Diceros bicornis minor: one gene and its partner. Each later gene encodes a partner of the first gene's protein in a complex. Links are inferred from orthologs where the notes say so. Each region holds a gene or a part of one and is shown on either strand. Other genes may lie near its edges. The genes, in order: NF2 and LATS2.

The links.
Region 2: the proteins of NF2 (region 1) and LATS2 are in contact, whole or in part, in a crystal structure (PDB 4ZRI), measured with the Homo sapiens proteins. The link is inferred for Diceros bicornis minor from reciprocal best matches to the Homo sapiens genes NF2 and LATS2. Residues at the interface, in NP_000259.1 of Homo sapiens: Pro135, Glu136, Ala137, Val139, Leu140, Tyr144, Asn175, Leu176, Tyr177, Gln178, Met179, Trp184, Arg187, Trp191, Glu206, Lys209, Ile210; in NP_055387.2 of Homo sapiens: Tyr73, Ala76, Leu77, Glu79, Ile80, Arg81, Ser83, Leu84, Leu85, Phe87, Ala88, Asn89.

What each region holds. Positions count from the first base shown.
Region 1 is NC_080774.1:23,187,462-23,194,855, forward strand, and holds the start of NF2 (merlin), read left to right. Parts: upstream 1-4,388; 5' UTR 4,389-4,794; coding exon 4,795-4,908; intron 4,909-7,394. UniProt on the Homo sapiens protein: Probable regulator of the Hippo/SWH (Sav/Wts/Hpo) signaling pathway, a signaling pathway that plays a pivotal role in tumor suppression by restricting proliferation and promoting apoptosis.
Region 2 is NC_080748.1:5,593,539-5,601,754, reverse strand, and holds the start of LATS2 (serine/threonine-protein kinase LATS2), read left to right. Parts: upstream 1-4,977; 5' UTR 4,978-5,144; intron 5,145-8,216. UniProt on the Homo sapiens protein: Negative regulator of YAP1 in the Hippo signaling pathway that plays a pivotal role in organ size control and tumor suppression by restricting proliferation and promoting apoptosis.

The DNA of each region.
Region 1 (7,394 bases):
ACTTGCTATATAAAGTATTGACCTAAGAAAAATAAATAAACAAAAAAAACCTGTAAGTAAGGGATCCATAACTTCATAAAAGGAAATACAGCTAGTGCAACAAATAAACAGTAAGTGGGTGGGGAAATAATGCAAAGTGAGGCATAAGGGCAGGAAAAATAAGATGAAGCCAAAGATAAGGCAAGGCCAGTTACAATTGTCAGAGGCTGACTTCAAATTTGGCTCTGAGCTTCCTAACAGCAAACTCCAAGAAAGAAACACGATTGGTAACATGGTTCACAACGTGTGTAAGAGAGAAAAAAAATTACACCCATACATGGGATCCTATGCAGCTCTTCAAAAATTATATTATGGAATACTTAATGATATGGGAAAATATTCATAATATATTAATGAATGAGAAAATAGCAAATCACAAAAAAGTATGTACTATATGAAAGTAGTGGGCCAGTGGATTATGCAAGCTAAAATTTGTTTTTCCTTCTGCTTGTATCAGTTTTCTATTACTGTGTAACAAGTTATGACAAATTTAGTGGTAATTACATTTATTATCTCACAGTGTCACGGGTCTGGAATCTGGGCGTAGCATGATCTTCTGCTCAGGGTTTCACAAGGCTGTAATTAAGGTGTCAGCCATATCACGGTTCTTATCTGGAACTCAGGATTCTCCTCCTAGCTCATTCAGGTTGTTGGCAGAATTCAGCTGCTTGTGGTTGTAGGACTGAAGTCCCTCTGCTTGCTAGCTGCCAGATGGGGACCACTCTCCATTCCCAGAGGCCACCCAGAGTTCCTTCCACTGTGGCCCCGTAGGCATTTCACAACGTGGATATTTGTTTTCTTCCAAGCCAGCAGGAATGCATCTCTCTGACTCTCTCCATCATGCTGGACCTCTAGACCTCCTTTTAAGAGTTCGCCTGATTAGGTCAGCCCCACCCAAAATAATCTCCCTTTTAATGAACTGAACTGATTAGGGATTACTTCTGCAAAAATCCCTTTTGCCATATAAAGTAACATAATCACAGGAATAATATCCCATCATATCCGTAGGTCTTGCCCATGCTCAAGGGGGAGTATTATACAAGGCTGTGGGTCATTGGGATACATTTTAGAATTATGCCTACCACACTGCTTATCTGCCGTTTTTTGTTTCCTTTTTATAATGCATATGGATTACTTGTAAAAGAAGGAAAAACACAATAAAAGTTATTAAAAAAATAAAAAGCAAATCAGCCTCTCATGAGAAATACAAGTACTGGGGCATAAGAGTTGTTTTTTTCATGGGTCTTCATAGAAAGGATGCTGTGTGAACCTTTGTCAGCTAAATCTCTACTGTAAAGACAGTCAGAGTTCCTCAGGGCTGTTTCTTATAACACCCTCAGTGCAGGACACTGTCTTTGTGCTAATGTGCAGTAAAAGTAATTCTGCAAGTGGCCAAAAACGACGGAGTCCAGTTTTTGGCAGAGGGGTCATAATCTAGAACTCACATGTAGCATTGAGGATAAGTTGATTTAATCTGGGGGATGAGCTGATTTATTCTGGGGTTCATAGATGTGCTTGGATGAGTCTTTCCATGAATCTCCTAAAACAATATGCAAAATTCTGTGCATGTGTGCATTCGTTTGAGGAAAGGGTCCACTGGTTGCATTGGATTCTCAATAGATTGTTTTTGACTCAAAAAAAAGGAACCATTGCTCTGCAGCAGGATTTCTTTATCTTGGCACTATTGACACTTGGGGCGGGATACTTCTTTGTTGTACGGGGTTGTCCTATGCCTTGTAGGATGTTTAACAGCATCCCTAGCCTTTTTTTTTTTTTTGTGAGGAGATCAGCCCTGTGCTAACATCTGCCAATCCTCCTCATTTTTCGCTGAGGAAGACTGGCCCTGGGCTAACATCCGTGCCCATCTTCCTCCACTTTTTTCTATATGGGACGCCGCCACAGCATGGCTTGCCAAGCAGTGCATCGGTGCACGCCCGGGATCCGAACCGGCGAACCCCGGGCCATGGCAGCGGAGCGTGTGCACCCAACCGCTTGCGCCACTGGGCCAGCCCCAACAGCATCCTTAGCCTTTAGCCATAGAGGACAGGCACACCATCTAGTTGTGACAACCAGAAAAAAAATCTCCAGACATTGCCAAATGTCCCTGGAGGGAAGGGACCTCACTTTGAGAACCACTGATCTTCTGGAAGAATGGAGGAATGAAATGTAAGTCAGGTAAGATCTGGATTAAAACAGTCCTGAATGCAAATTGCAGTTCTACCAATTACGATTTTCGGTAAATTACCTAATTTCAGCTTTATCCAAGTTCCTCATATATAAACTAGGAATATAATACAATACGTACCAAATAGGATCTTGATAAAGATCAAAAGAAATAAAGCATGCAAAATCCTTTGCAGAATACCTTAGATGGTAAGCACTTAATAAATGGTAGCTATTAATATTGTTTCCATAGTTGAGACCATAGTATTTCCTCACATTCTTCACTTATTCGTTCAATAGATATTTATTTTAACTGGTGTCTGTGTGTTAGGTCTTTTGTAACGAGCTCTATCTGAATTATTCCTTCTCAAACCCTTATCTGGTAGGTACTATTATCATCTCTGTTTATTCTTTGTGAATGGCACTTTTAATGCCAGCATAATATTCCATCACATCTATTTTAATTCTGGCCCTGGCTTCCCTTCTGAGATTCAGACCCATATGGACATCCAGGTCTGGATGTCCCCCCAGGAACATTAAATTTGGCATGTTTAGCCAATCAGCACGGTGCCTAGCACCTAGTAAGCTTTCCATAAAAGCGAGCTATTACTGGCCATCAATATCATTTTTAGCCCCTGCTGTGTGATCCACCTCCTCTTCCTACTCCTCAGTGGGTTCCCAGAGCCTCTTATTTTCTGTCAGCAGCCTTGGCCCTGGGTTAAAACCCTGATTTTTTGTCCCTGTAGGGAGACTATAGGAGAATCCAATTCTCCCTCCTGCAAGTAAGAACTGAAGCGATGAAAATGAAGACACTCCCACACCAAGCCCATATTGCCCTGAACAATCTTTTGGTGAGTAGACAGACATAATGTTCCACCACAGCAGCCCTGCTGAGCGTGCCAGCAAGTGACTCCTGGGGCCTGGCTGGTGCTTCCTGGTGCTGTAGGCGCCCATGGGGAAGAGCCAGACTTATGCTATTAGCATAGTTACAGCAAGTGTCTGCTGAGTGCTCCAGAACTGTAGTTCATATTTCTCCAGGCAGCAACAGGAGCAATTTGGAAGCCACAACCAGGGAAGCAGGGCAGTGCAGTGGTAATACCCAGTGGGATCACCCTGGGTCCCAGCTTGGCCTCTCATTATCTGGGTGACTGGGAGCAAGTGGCTCTGTCATGCTGAGCCTGTTTCTTCAGCTGTAGGGTGGGGACGATGCTAATGAGGGTTAACACTCATGGAGCCCTTACTGTTCAGTTAAAACTCATGAAATTGTCTTTATTCAATTATCTTAGAATTTATTTTTAAGTACATAAAGTTATAATCCCCCATCATACACACACGTTATAACCTTTGATGACATTTAAAAAAAATAAATGCACGTTAATGGTTCGAAAATGGAAACCACAGAGAACAAAATAAAAAATGCTTCCCTTTTTCGGCCGTTTTTGATCTACAAAAACAGCAATTTCATAGGATTCAACCTAGTATGCGCCAGCCACCGTTCTAAAGCTTTATATATATTAACTCACTTAAATTTTTCAACAACTCCATGAAGTAGGTACAATTTTTATCCCCCACCCCTTTGGTAATAATATTTCTCCTAAAGAGAGGCAGAAGGATCTGGAGGAGACTGCTGGCAACCTAAGCGGCCTCCACAACTGACTCAAAAGTTTTCGAGAAACATAGAGGTCAATAAATGTAATTAATTAAATGCCAAACAGGATTAGCCTCCGGGTGTCCGAAACACGACGTCCTGGGGCGCCACACACGGCGCGTACTCGGTCCATACAGGCCAACTCCCACGCCCCTGGACCAGTCTCTACGCGGTTTCCCAGGAAAGGCGCGCCGGGCTCCGCCGCCTCAACCAGCCTTGCTAGAGTAGGCGTACCCCTACGAACAAAAGCGTTCGGAGTGACTGCCGCTATAGCCACTCAACGCCGAGCCCAGGCCTCCGCCGCCGGTCAGAGCGGAACTTCCAATTGGTGGAGTCGTTCTGAAGAAGGCTGGACGGAGCAGGGAAAGTCCCGCCTTCCTCAGAGTTCTCAGCCAACCGTGGCGTCTGGGCGGAGGCCGCCTGTTAGGGTGCGCTGTGTGTAGCGATCTGGGGGGCCTGAGGGCGGGGCGGGGAGCAGGCCCGGGGCTGCGGGGAGGGGACGCTTCCCGCGGGTGCGCGGAGTGAGGACGGTGACAGCCACGCGCGCACGTGCGCGCCCGGCTGCGGCGCGGCCCCGAGACCTCCGTCGGCCGCTGAGAGGCGCCCGGAGTCTGGGCCGCCGCTGTCTAGGGGCTGATACACGGGCGTCCCCAGCGTCCTCGGCCCGAGTCCCGGAGCGCCGGGCCGTACCCGCCCCGTCGGTCCGCGCTCGCGTTCCCTGCCCGCGGCCGTCAGGGCCCGCCTCCCAAGTCCCCTCTCCGTTCCCGGGGCAGGGTCCTCGCGGTCCATGCTGGCCGCTGGGGGCCCGCGCCACCCAGACAGCTCCCGGGCCGGCCGGCCGGCCACCATGGTGGCTCTGAGGCCTGTGCGGCTCCTCCAGGGGGGCTAACAGGCCCAGAGCGCAGGCTTCGGGGCACGAGGGTCCCGGGCCTGAGCCCCGCGCCATGGCCGGGGCCATCGCTTCCCGCATGAGCTTCAGCTCACTCAAGAGGAAGCAGCCCAAGACGTTCACCGTGCGGATCGTTACCATGGACGCCGAGATGGAGTTCAATTGCGAGGTAACCGGCCGGCAGCCCCGACGGGCTGCGGAGAGGGGTAGCCCAGAATCCTCTCGCCGGGCCCCACCAACCCGGGCGCCCTTGCCACGGTGACAGTCGAGGTGGAAGCTTGAGGGATTCTGCTTATATCATCTCTGGGTATAGGTAGAGACTGCTAGAACCAGAAGGAACCATCTAGGCCCAAATCCTCAAATTAAAGATAATTGCTGCTTTTTTCAATTTTGGGTTTGGAAGCACTTCTTGAAGGTTTTCATTCATTGTTATTGCAAGAGGCTGGAAGCATCCGTGGTAGCGAATTCTAGTTTTCAGTGGCAGGTTCAGCTCCAGCTCTATAGAGGTTTTACTTCATTAGATAATATTATGTACCCCTGGTATTAAAAGTTGCATGTCATTTTATTGGAAAGTCTGTACTTGTTTCTCTTTTCCAAAACTTAAATTTTCTGGAAAAAAACTGTTTGAGGAATGAGATGGTGTCTGAAACTTTCTGTAGAGTTTCTATCATGATGATAAGTTATCATGTATTGAATACTTTCTAAGTGCCAGGCATTCATACATTTAATTCTCACAGCAACCCAATGAGGTAGGTACCCCAAACCATATATCTAGTAAATGGTGAAGTAAGGTTTTGAATCAAGCTCTTAGCCAATACAGTACTGCCTCTCAAGTAGTTTAGGTCCTTGCTACTCAAAGGGTGGTCTATGGATTGGCATTGGCAGCAGTGACCTAGGTGAGGGGTTGGCAAACTTTTCCTGTAAAGGGCCACATAGTAATTATTTTCAGCTTTTTGAGCTGTAGGGTATCGGTTGCAACTACTCACACCTCTTCAGCTCTACCATGTAGCACAAAAGCAGCCTTAGACAGGGTCAGCTTCCATCAGGACAGCGTGAGGAGCTCCACTGAGCTGGTCCCCTGTAAAACTGGTAAAAATTATTTGAAAAAACAGTAATTTAAACCCTCTGGAAATGGTCCTAAGGGCAAACATCAAGTGAAGAAACATCTTTTCAAGAAAATCTATCAAGGGGCCGGCCCGGTGGCATAGCGGTTAAGTGCTCACGCTCTGCTGCAGTGGCCTGGGGTCTGTAGGTTCGGATCCCAGGCGCGCACCGACGCACCGCTTGTCAAGCCATGCTGTGGCGGCGTCCCATATAAAGTAGAGGAAGATGGGCACGGATGTTAGCCCAGGGCCAGTCTTCCTCGGCAAGAAGAGGAAGATTGGCATCAGATGTTAGCTCAGGGCTGATCTTCCTCACAAAAAAAAGAAAATCTATCAAAATTTGGTAAGAAAGGTGAGAGTTTGTGGTCTTTGAACCAAGACTGCTACCACCCTCCCTGCTCCCAGCTCAGCAAGGTAGAAATTCCACTCTAGACTGCTGTAACCCAGAACACAGGGCTCCCTCTACTCCTGGCTCCCAGTCAGGTGGCTTTCTTCCCAGGAGGAGCAGGACTTCAGAGCTTCTCATCTTGCCCAAGGCTACTTGTTGCTGAGGCTAAGTCCTGGGTGTGTGAAGTTGAAAGATGGAACTTGCTTCTTCCACCCAGCTCCTACTTATGGAATGGGGGCTGTACCCTGGTGGCACACTGAGAATACTGGACCCCAGTTGTTCTTGTCCCTAACCTCAGTTTGTGAGATGGTAGTTCCAGCCAGGAGAGGCAAACTGAAAAGACTTCAGTTTAGTGTGTCCCCCATCCCCCCTTCCACCAAGGGCTCAGAGATTTTGCCTGGAGGGAGAAGCAGGCTTTAAAACCCTTGGTTTCTAATCTCTTCCCAAAGGTAGTGACTTCATTTGCAACAAAGCAGAGAAGTTTATGCTTAAGGGTACTCTCAGGAACAGTGGAGGTTTTGGTGAAAGACAATTGGGAGGACTTTTGTAGATCTAATGAAGATAACAGCCTAGACTGTAGGCTAAGTAGTTTGCAGGAGAGAATCAGGGAATAAGACAACTGGGAAGAGCCCTCTTGGCGTCAGAACAAATATCAAACACTAATTTCAGAAACTGTTTCCTCAAAAAGCCACCTTTTGATTGGATTACTTTGTAGAGCAAATTACACCCTGAGCATTGTTGAAAATAATAGAATAATATACCACAGTGAGTGGAGTTTAACAGCTGGGCATGATCAGGGAAGGAGAGGAACAGAGCCCTGCTAAAACCACTGTCATCCAGGGTGACTGTGGGCATACCCAGAGATGCACCTCCCTGAGGAGCAACAACATAGGCCTTAACACTGTATGAGGGAAATTGATTTCACTAAAACAGTCTCGCCAGTCACTAAACAAATAAACAGGCAAATAATAATAATAAGCCCTGGAGCGGGGGGGGGCAGTCCTCAGAGTTGCTATAATATGTTATCTAAAATGTCTAGTTTCCAATGAAAAATTATGAGGCATGCAAAGGAACAGGGAAGTATGATCCGTACGGTGGAAAAATCTAGCAACAGAAATTGCTTGTGAGAGCTACTAGATGTCAGATTTAACAAAAAAATTTCAA
Region 2 (8,216 bases), on another chromosome or scaffold:
TTCTCAGTGTTTTAGTAGTCCTTCTCTGTTTCTTTTTTCTTCTCTTGCTCTCTTCCCTTGTGGTTTGATGGCTTTCTTTAGTATTATGTTTGGGTTCCTTTCTCTTAGTTTTTTGTGTATTTATTATAGGTTTCTGGTTTGTGATTACCATGGGGTCCGTACACAGAGTTGATGGTCTCTTTAGTTTGACCTCTGTCTGAAAGCTCTGCTCTTTAACTCCTTTCCTCCCACATTTTATGTTTTTGGTATCATATCTAACCTCTTTTTTGTGCATTTGTATCCATTACATTCTTATCATGGAAATAGATAATTTTTCCTATTTGTGGTCTTCTCTTTTCCCCTTAAATAAGTCCCTTTAGCATTTCTTGTAACACTGGTTTCTTGGTGACAAACTCCTTTAATTTTTGCTTGTCTGGGAAACTTTTTATTTCTCCTTCCATTTTGAATGATAACCTTGCCAGGTAGAGTATTCTTGGCTGTAAGTTTTTTCCTTTCAGCACTTTAAATATATCATGCCACTATCTTCTAGTCTGTAAGGTTTCTGCTGAGAAGTCAGCTGATAACTTTATGGGGTTTCCTTTGTATGTAACTTGTCTTTCTCTTGTGGCTTTTAGAATTCTCTCTTTATCTTTAATCCTGGACATTTTAATTATGATGTGTCTTGGTGGGGGCCTCTTTGGGTTTATCTTGTTTGGTGCTCTCTGTGCTTCCTGTACCTGGATGTCTGTGTCCTTCCTTAGGTTAGGGAAGTTTTCATCTATTATTTCTTCAAATAGATTCTCTGCCCCTTTGTCTCACTCTTCTCCTTCTGGGACACCTATAACACGGATGTTAGTGCACTTGATGTTGTCTCAGAGGTCCCTTAGACTGTCCTCACTCTTTTTAATCCTTTTTTCTTTTACCTGTTCAGCTTGGGTGATTTCTTCTAGTCTTTCATCTAGCTCACTACAAAGTTCTTTATATATAGTTTTGGGGGGAGAATATGGTCCCCATTCTTGTGGAATTTATAATCTAATTAAGAAGACAAAATATATGAGTATAAAACAAAAAAATCAGTGCAGCACATCTTCTTCCTGGTTTTCTAGGCCTTTCATATCCTGACTCTACTCTACTTTTTTGTGTGTGTGAGGAAGATCAGCTCTGAGCTAACATCTATGCCAATCCTCCTCTTTTTGCTGAGGAAGACTGGCCCTGGGCTAACACCTGTGCCCATCTTCCTCCACTTTATATGGGACGCCACCACAGCATGGCCTGACAAGCAGGGCATCGGTGCGCACCCAGGATCGGACTCGGGCCACCAGCAGCGGAACATGCACGCTGAACCACTACACTACCAGGCCAGCCCCTCTAGTCTATTTTTTCACTACTCCCCTTAGAGAACATTCTTCTGTAGTTAGGCAGATTTGCTAAGTCTCCCCCACAGATTATAAAAAAGGAGGCTTTTTCTTTCCAAAATGACAAAAATTGTGTCTAGAGACCAGAGCCTGTTTTCCAGGCACTAAGGTATGAGCCATAATCAGGTTTCTTGCATTCACAGCTTGGCGGGGAAGTGGGGCGTGGTAGGTAGTCTTAGGGTGATATTCCCTAGGGGCCTCAGTGAGAACTGCTAAAACATCCGGGCCCCACAACTGCAGGGGCCTCATTGGTGAGTAGACTCCCTGTGCCTGCAGCCCACAGCCTCTTTTTTCTCTGGTTGGTGCTGGAGACACATGTCTTTGAGCTCCACTCTTCCTCACTCCACAAAAGCCATTCCTCTTCCCTCAAACAAACTATAGGGGAGTTAATTTTGTTTCAGTTTCCTTATTTATAAGTACACTGTAATCATGACTTTTTGAGATTACCTGAAGAGAGCCTTATAATTCAGTGTTGCCTAGCTCTGGAGTCAGATCTACCAAGGTTCAAATCCCAGCTCTTTGATCTTGAGTGAGTTACTTGGGTTCTCTGTGTTATAGGGTCCTTTTCTATAAAATGGGGTTGATAACATGGTTGTCTAGAGGATTAAATGAGATAATACACAAGTTTAGGGCAACACTTGGTTGTAAGGACACACAAACACATACGCATATATAAACATACTATGTTAATCAATTAATTTATACACTGCAACATTGCCACTGCTACAGGCTTTGTGCTCATCTGGCCTTGTGTTATTTCTCTCTTTTCTCCCCTTCTCAGCTGGATGCATTACGTGAATGTACTCATTTAGCTGATTACTTAATTTAGACATAGTTTTTGTTGCTAACTATCCTATTTAGGAATATCAGGAATTATAAGACAAAAATCACCCAGAATGACTATATCCAGAGACTACCACTTTTTTTTGTTTTGGTGAGGAAGATTAGCCCTGAACTAACATCTGTTGCCAATCCTCTTCTTTTAGCTGAGGAAGATGGGTCCTGGGCTAACATCCGTGCCCATCTTCCTCTACTTCATATGTGAGATGCCGCCACAGCATGGCTTAATGAGAGTGGTATGTAGCTCCACACCTGGGATCTGAACCTGTGAACCCCAGGCTGCCTGAAGTGGTGCAAACTTAACCACTACACCACCGGGCCGGCCCCTAGAGACCACCATTTTTAACATTTGGCTGCATACTTTTCTGGACTTTAAAATATATAATATTTTATATTATATAGTATTATATAATTTATAATATATTATTAATATATTTTTAAAATATATAAATATATATATACTGACATTGTTTCACAAAATTAGATGCTATACTCTATTTTGTCATTTGCTTTTCTTCTTGAACACATCTACAAGACTGTTAGCTCCACCAGGGGATAAGTCTTGTGGTTTTGTCCCTAGTGTCTGGTTTAGCCCACGGCTCATAACAGATACTCAAAAAATAAAACAACTCAAAGGAATGAATGACTCCATGTCAATAAACACATATCCCAATAACAATAAACACAATCATTAATCATAATATTCTCCTAAATAAGTGTGTCACATTTTCCCCAGGCAAGCCTCTAATTGGAAATTTACTTGTTTCCAATTTGTTTCATACATATATATTTGAAAAATTTAAAAAGATGTTTTAAAAAAAGGCACAAAGAATAACACAACACACATTATTGAACCTAATCACCCAGAATCAACAAATTTTAAGATTTTGACAGTTTTGCTTCACTTCTTTAAATAAAAAAAAAAGCATTGCAGATAAAGCTGAACTCTTTCTCTCCTCAGTCTAATTTCTCTCCTTCCTTCTACACAGGCAACAGCTGTCATGAATTTGGTGTGTACTTTTGTAGTCCATGTCTCTACTTATATAAAGTATAGGATTAGTATAGGTTCTGCGGGGTTTTGTTTATATATAAATATGGCATCATAGTGTATATATAGTTATGCAACTTTCTTTTTTCTACTCTACAATGGTTTTGAATTCTGTCTACACTCATTTTTTCTTTGAAAAGTACAGAGCTAGTTAGTTCATTCACTTAGCTATTTTATATATTTCATCATTTGAATATCTACCATCTATTTTCCTATTATTCCCTATTGCTGGACATTTAAGTTCTTCCTGATTTTTCACTATTGCAAACAATGCTGTAATGGTTGTTGTAATTACAAAATTTTATTAGGTGTTTACACATAAATTTTAAAGTCCATTAAATTCCTCTTATTTACAATATTTCACTTGACAAAAATGTTTTATTTAATTATGTTCAGATCTTTGAAGACAGAGCAAGGGCAAGATCTTTAAACACACACAAAGGAAGACTGGTAGCCAGCCCTGCGGCTTGGGGCTTGGGTGCAGAAAGTATGGGCAGTGTATAAGGGAAAAGGTACACAGCTGAGTGCAAGGGGGACTCAGTTACAGAATATCTGCTGGAGATTTATACTGCGCAACATGTCTGGGTTGAGCACAGGATACGACTGAAAAAGTAAATTGAATTCCAAACTGCACAATAATGGTTTAATTACCAGAGCTCAAAGAAGAGAGAAAACAGGAGGGAGATCTGAGAAGATTCCCTGGAAGAGCCAAGGCAAAGTCAGGGCTAAAAACCTGGGTGGGATTTAGAAAGGAAGGAGGAGAAGATGGCAGACCAGGGACAGGTAAGGTTGTTAAAACAGTCCGGAGATAATGACCTTATTTACTGTTTCTTTCCAGATTAAAATTTAAAAATTTCACAGGAGTTTATTAATTAAAAAGGAAATTAGGTTGGCTTTTAAATCGATGTTAGTCCTCCTCATCATCTACCACAGACTGTAGGCGGTAGGAAGTATGACGTTAGACGGACAGCCAGAAGTAGATTAAAGATTTGGCTTCCAGTCTGTTATTTCTACTCACATCTCTGCACAGTCCCTGCATACGTCCTTGTACCAAATCCATAGCCCCCAAATGGAAAGACAGTCAGCGGTTGAAACGCAAAAACCAAAATCTCTCTTGTTGGTATACATTCTTATACTGTTCTGTATACCATAAAACACTTCTCATAAACAAAATATACACAGCACTGGGGGTTGATTAAATTAAAACCGATTGAATTTGGGTGTATATTTGACGTCTTTCCATGACTCACGGCTAGCTGTCTGCCCTTTTCGGCACCTATTTGGTAACTTGGTGGCTCCTTCAAGCCTGTTAACTTACTTTCTTCACCAAGGCTGGTGTGAGATGCTTAAGAAAAAAGTGGCTGTAAGACAGAGTTACCAACTTTTAATACAAGTCCAGTCGAGGGGGCAATACTGGAGTTGGGGCCGGGTGACAAACTGGCAAAAAGGTCCGTAGGAGGAGGCGGGGAGGCCGCGGGCAGGTGGCGACGGGCGCGGGCGGCCGCGACCTGGAGGCAGGAAGCGGCGGCCGGGCGGAGCGAGCCGGCCGCCGAGCGGCAAGGGCCGCAGGCGCCCCGCCCGGGCTGGTATGCGGCCGAGAGTGACGCGGGAGGCGGGGTCACGTGACGCCCGTGGAATGCCAACAATGTAGCGAATGTCCCACTTGGGTCTGCGCGTTGGAACAGCGGCGTGAGCGCCCCGGGAAGATGGAGCAGCCGCCGCCCGCGCCGCCGCCGCCCGGGGCTCCCCTGTCCCTGCGGGGCCAGCAGCAGCTCCAGCCACCGGCGCCCGGTCCCCCGGCGCGCGAGGCCCCGGAGCCACAGGCGAGGACGCCCCGGAGCGTGTAGACCGCGCCCCAGGAGGTGAAGGGGCAGGGGCGGGAGCGGGCGGCCAAGGAAGTTTGTCAGGACCGGAGCTCTGCGCCCTGCCCCCACGGCCCCCGCCCGTCCTGGGCCCAGAGCCGCCCCCGCCGGCGGCGCGTCGTCGCGGGCCGTCCGGAGTCCGCCGAGCCGGCTCGCGCGGGCCGGGAGGCTGGGGGCGAGCGCCGGGCGGCAGGGTGCGCCGCTTTGTTGTGCGCTGGGGGCCGGGGGCGGCGAGCGGGGGGCGCCCGCGCCTCCACCGTCCCGGGAGCCGGGCTTCTACCCGAGTGCCCGGCCTCCGCGGTGCCAGCGGGCGGCCCTGACAGCGCCGGGGTCCCGCGCCTGGCCGCCCCGCCTTCCACGGAGGCCGCCCCGTCGTACCCGACTGGCCGCGGCGTCGTGTCCCCACGGAGGCCGCGCCGCTGTGTCCCCTCGGGCGGCGGGGAAGCCGGGCCCGCCCCGGCGTCTCCGTGTTGGCCTCCAGGTCCTCGCGGGTCGAAGCCCGGGCTTCCAGGGGCGCATTCGTGGCCGTGAGAGCGGCGGCCGTTGCATAACGTGCCCGTCCTGCGCCCCAGTCTAGCCGACTTTTCTGGAGGTTGTCTTTTCTGATGCAACTTTACTTGTAGTTAGTTCCGCGGCCGGACTCGGGAGATGCAGATTCCGATAAAATTCGCATTTTGGCAATCACTTCTGCTCCAGCCTTACTTCGGAACTTCAGGACGAGCGTCTGCCTCCGGGTGAAGCCTGGCCTGGGGTCGGGCAGGAGTGCCAGCTCGGAGCAGACCTTTCGTTTGTGGATTCCAAGTCCCCGGTGCCCTGGGGGTGGGGGAAGGGGAAGGCATACCCCCAAAGAAGGTAAAACGCACCGGACGGCGGTGTCACGGGTGTCCTGGGCTGCCGGCAGCATGTTCTGAGGCCCTCGAATGAGAAGTAGTCTTTGCAAGCATAACCGTGAAAAGTACACTTTATTTGTAGATTTTATGTTGACAAAATTTTAAACAACAACTTTTACATTTTCACACCTATGTAGAATATAAGTGAGAGTGTTCTTAATGTAATAGTCATCTAGACTTTTAAAAATTATTTAACCTTGGCTATTAAACCAGGGAGTATACACTTGGCAAGTAAAAATTCAGTGGCCCATCAGCTCTCTTCCCAATGTATTCAGCAAATATGTACATTTTTAAAGGAAAGATTGCCCACATTTTACTAAGAAACTTGAATATACTGAAATTTGAATGGAAAGACAAAATGTGTGTGATCTTCGTACAGGTGTTCTGTTTAAATTTTGACTTAGTAGATGAGGGGCCTTCCCTTAGTAATGGAGAAAGTAACTCGCGGCTTATTATTAGGGAATTTGTACTAAATAGATCTTGCTCCATATTTTTTGTTGATTCTCAGCTTAAATCCCTGTGTGATGGATTACCATTTTTGAGTGCTAAATCAAAATACTAAGTTGCTTGGTATCTTCTAAGCTTTTTGTTTAGCAACTGTTGTAGTAAGGTGGTAACAGAAAAATCTTCCAAAAGAAGAATGCAGAGACTATTTAAGAAGGTCTGTTTTGAATTATAATTAACAAGACGCTGTTATTCAGCATCTCATAAAATTTGGTCTCATTATCCAGGTATATAGAGCACTGTTTAATGAATATGACAGCATTCCCTTGAAATTAAAATTGCTGTACATTTAATAGATCTCAACATGTCAAGCAATTTAAAGTGGCATCCGAACAGAAGATGTCATGCGAAATTATTGAGGTGAATGAATTACTAGAATCACGGAATTTTAGAATTGAAGGGATTCTTTTAGCCTCTCCATCTGTTTTGAAAGTTTTGACTGAAGTGTAAATTGGAGCTGTACATATTTCTTTCTTTCCTTAGCAAATCACAGGGTTGGTGGGAGGGACTTCCCTTTGGTGGGAGGGGAATGTTTTTACAATAAGAAGCCTTGTTATTTTAAATGCTGTGTTGTGAATAGCCAGTCCTAGGCTCCTAAATCCCATTGTAGGGGGGTGGAGAGGTAGGGGAGGTGTTGAAGCTGATAAATTAACCATGAACACGAAGGAAGGATTTGGGGAAGCTTTGGAGCTGTTCTGCTTTGTATTGGAAAAACCAGACCAACACAGTTTTTGAAAAGCTGCTTTTATATTTTATTTCATGGTTATAATAATGTGAAACTTCTAAATAATATTCCTTACTGACTTTTTAAAAATAGTGGGCTTGAAGACATACAGAAGATAAATTTAGTGCATTTATTTTGTCTTAAATGTAATTCTGCTCTAAAAAGGATCAAAATATCCTGATAAACAGAATGAAGAGATTGGTCTTGATAATCCCTGAAGTGACTGACTTCCAGCTCAAAAAATTCTCATAATCTTCCTTTTTAAAAAGCCTGTTGCTTAGTAATTCCTCTGGATAGAACTGGGCCTTGCATGAGTCCAGGGGGTCACCATTCCCATTGTATGCGGAGTGGATGAGCTCTGGGAGGTGGAGCTTCCTCACACAGAGCACCTGTGAATTGCTCCCGAAGTTTGTCGGTGGCCTGCTTGGGCCACTAGTTTCACTAAGTATTAGTCAGCTGTTCTTTCAGTACTTTTAAGGCTAATGTTATTTGATTTACAGTTTCATTTTGAAAGTATTATTAAAATAATGTTGGAAATAGAGATAATGGTTATGATGCTAAAATTAGAATGGAAATTTTACACTGCTTAATGTTCTCATTCACTATATGAAAACTTTATGTTGCTTACCATCTAGACTGTGTCAACCTACCTGTAACAAGTGATTTTTTTTTAAGTTAAATACTTTTTGTTCATGTGCCAGTATTTGACGTTCATAGGAATTTTTCTGGAGGACAAATGGAAAATCTCATATTTTGTAGCAGTGCTTTGTGTTTATTGTTAATTCATTGTGAAGATATTGCGGCATAGCGCAGATCCTATAGCCTCTAAATTAGGATGGTAAGGATCTTAAGAATGGAAGTTGACTTTTGAATGGAGTGGGCCTCTGTTTGGAGTATTGGCCTTACTGTCTCCAGGCTGTTGTCTTGAGCAGGAATGCTAAGGACTAGCATGTT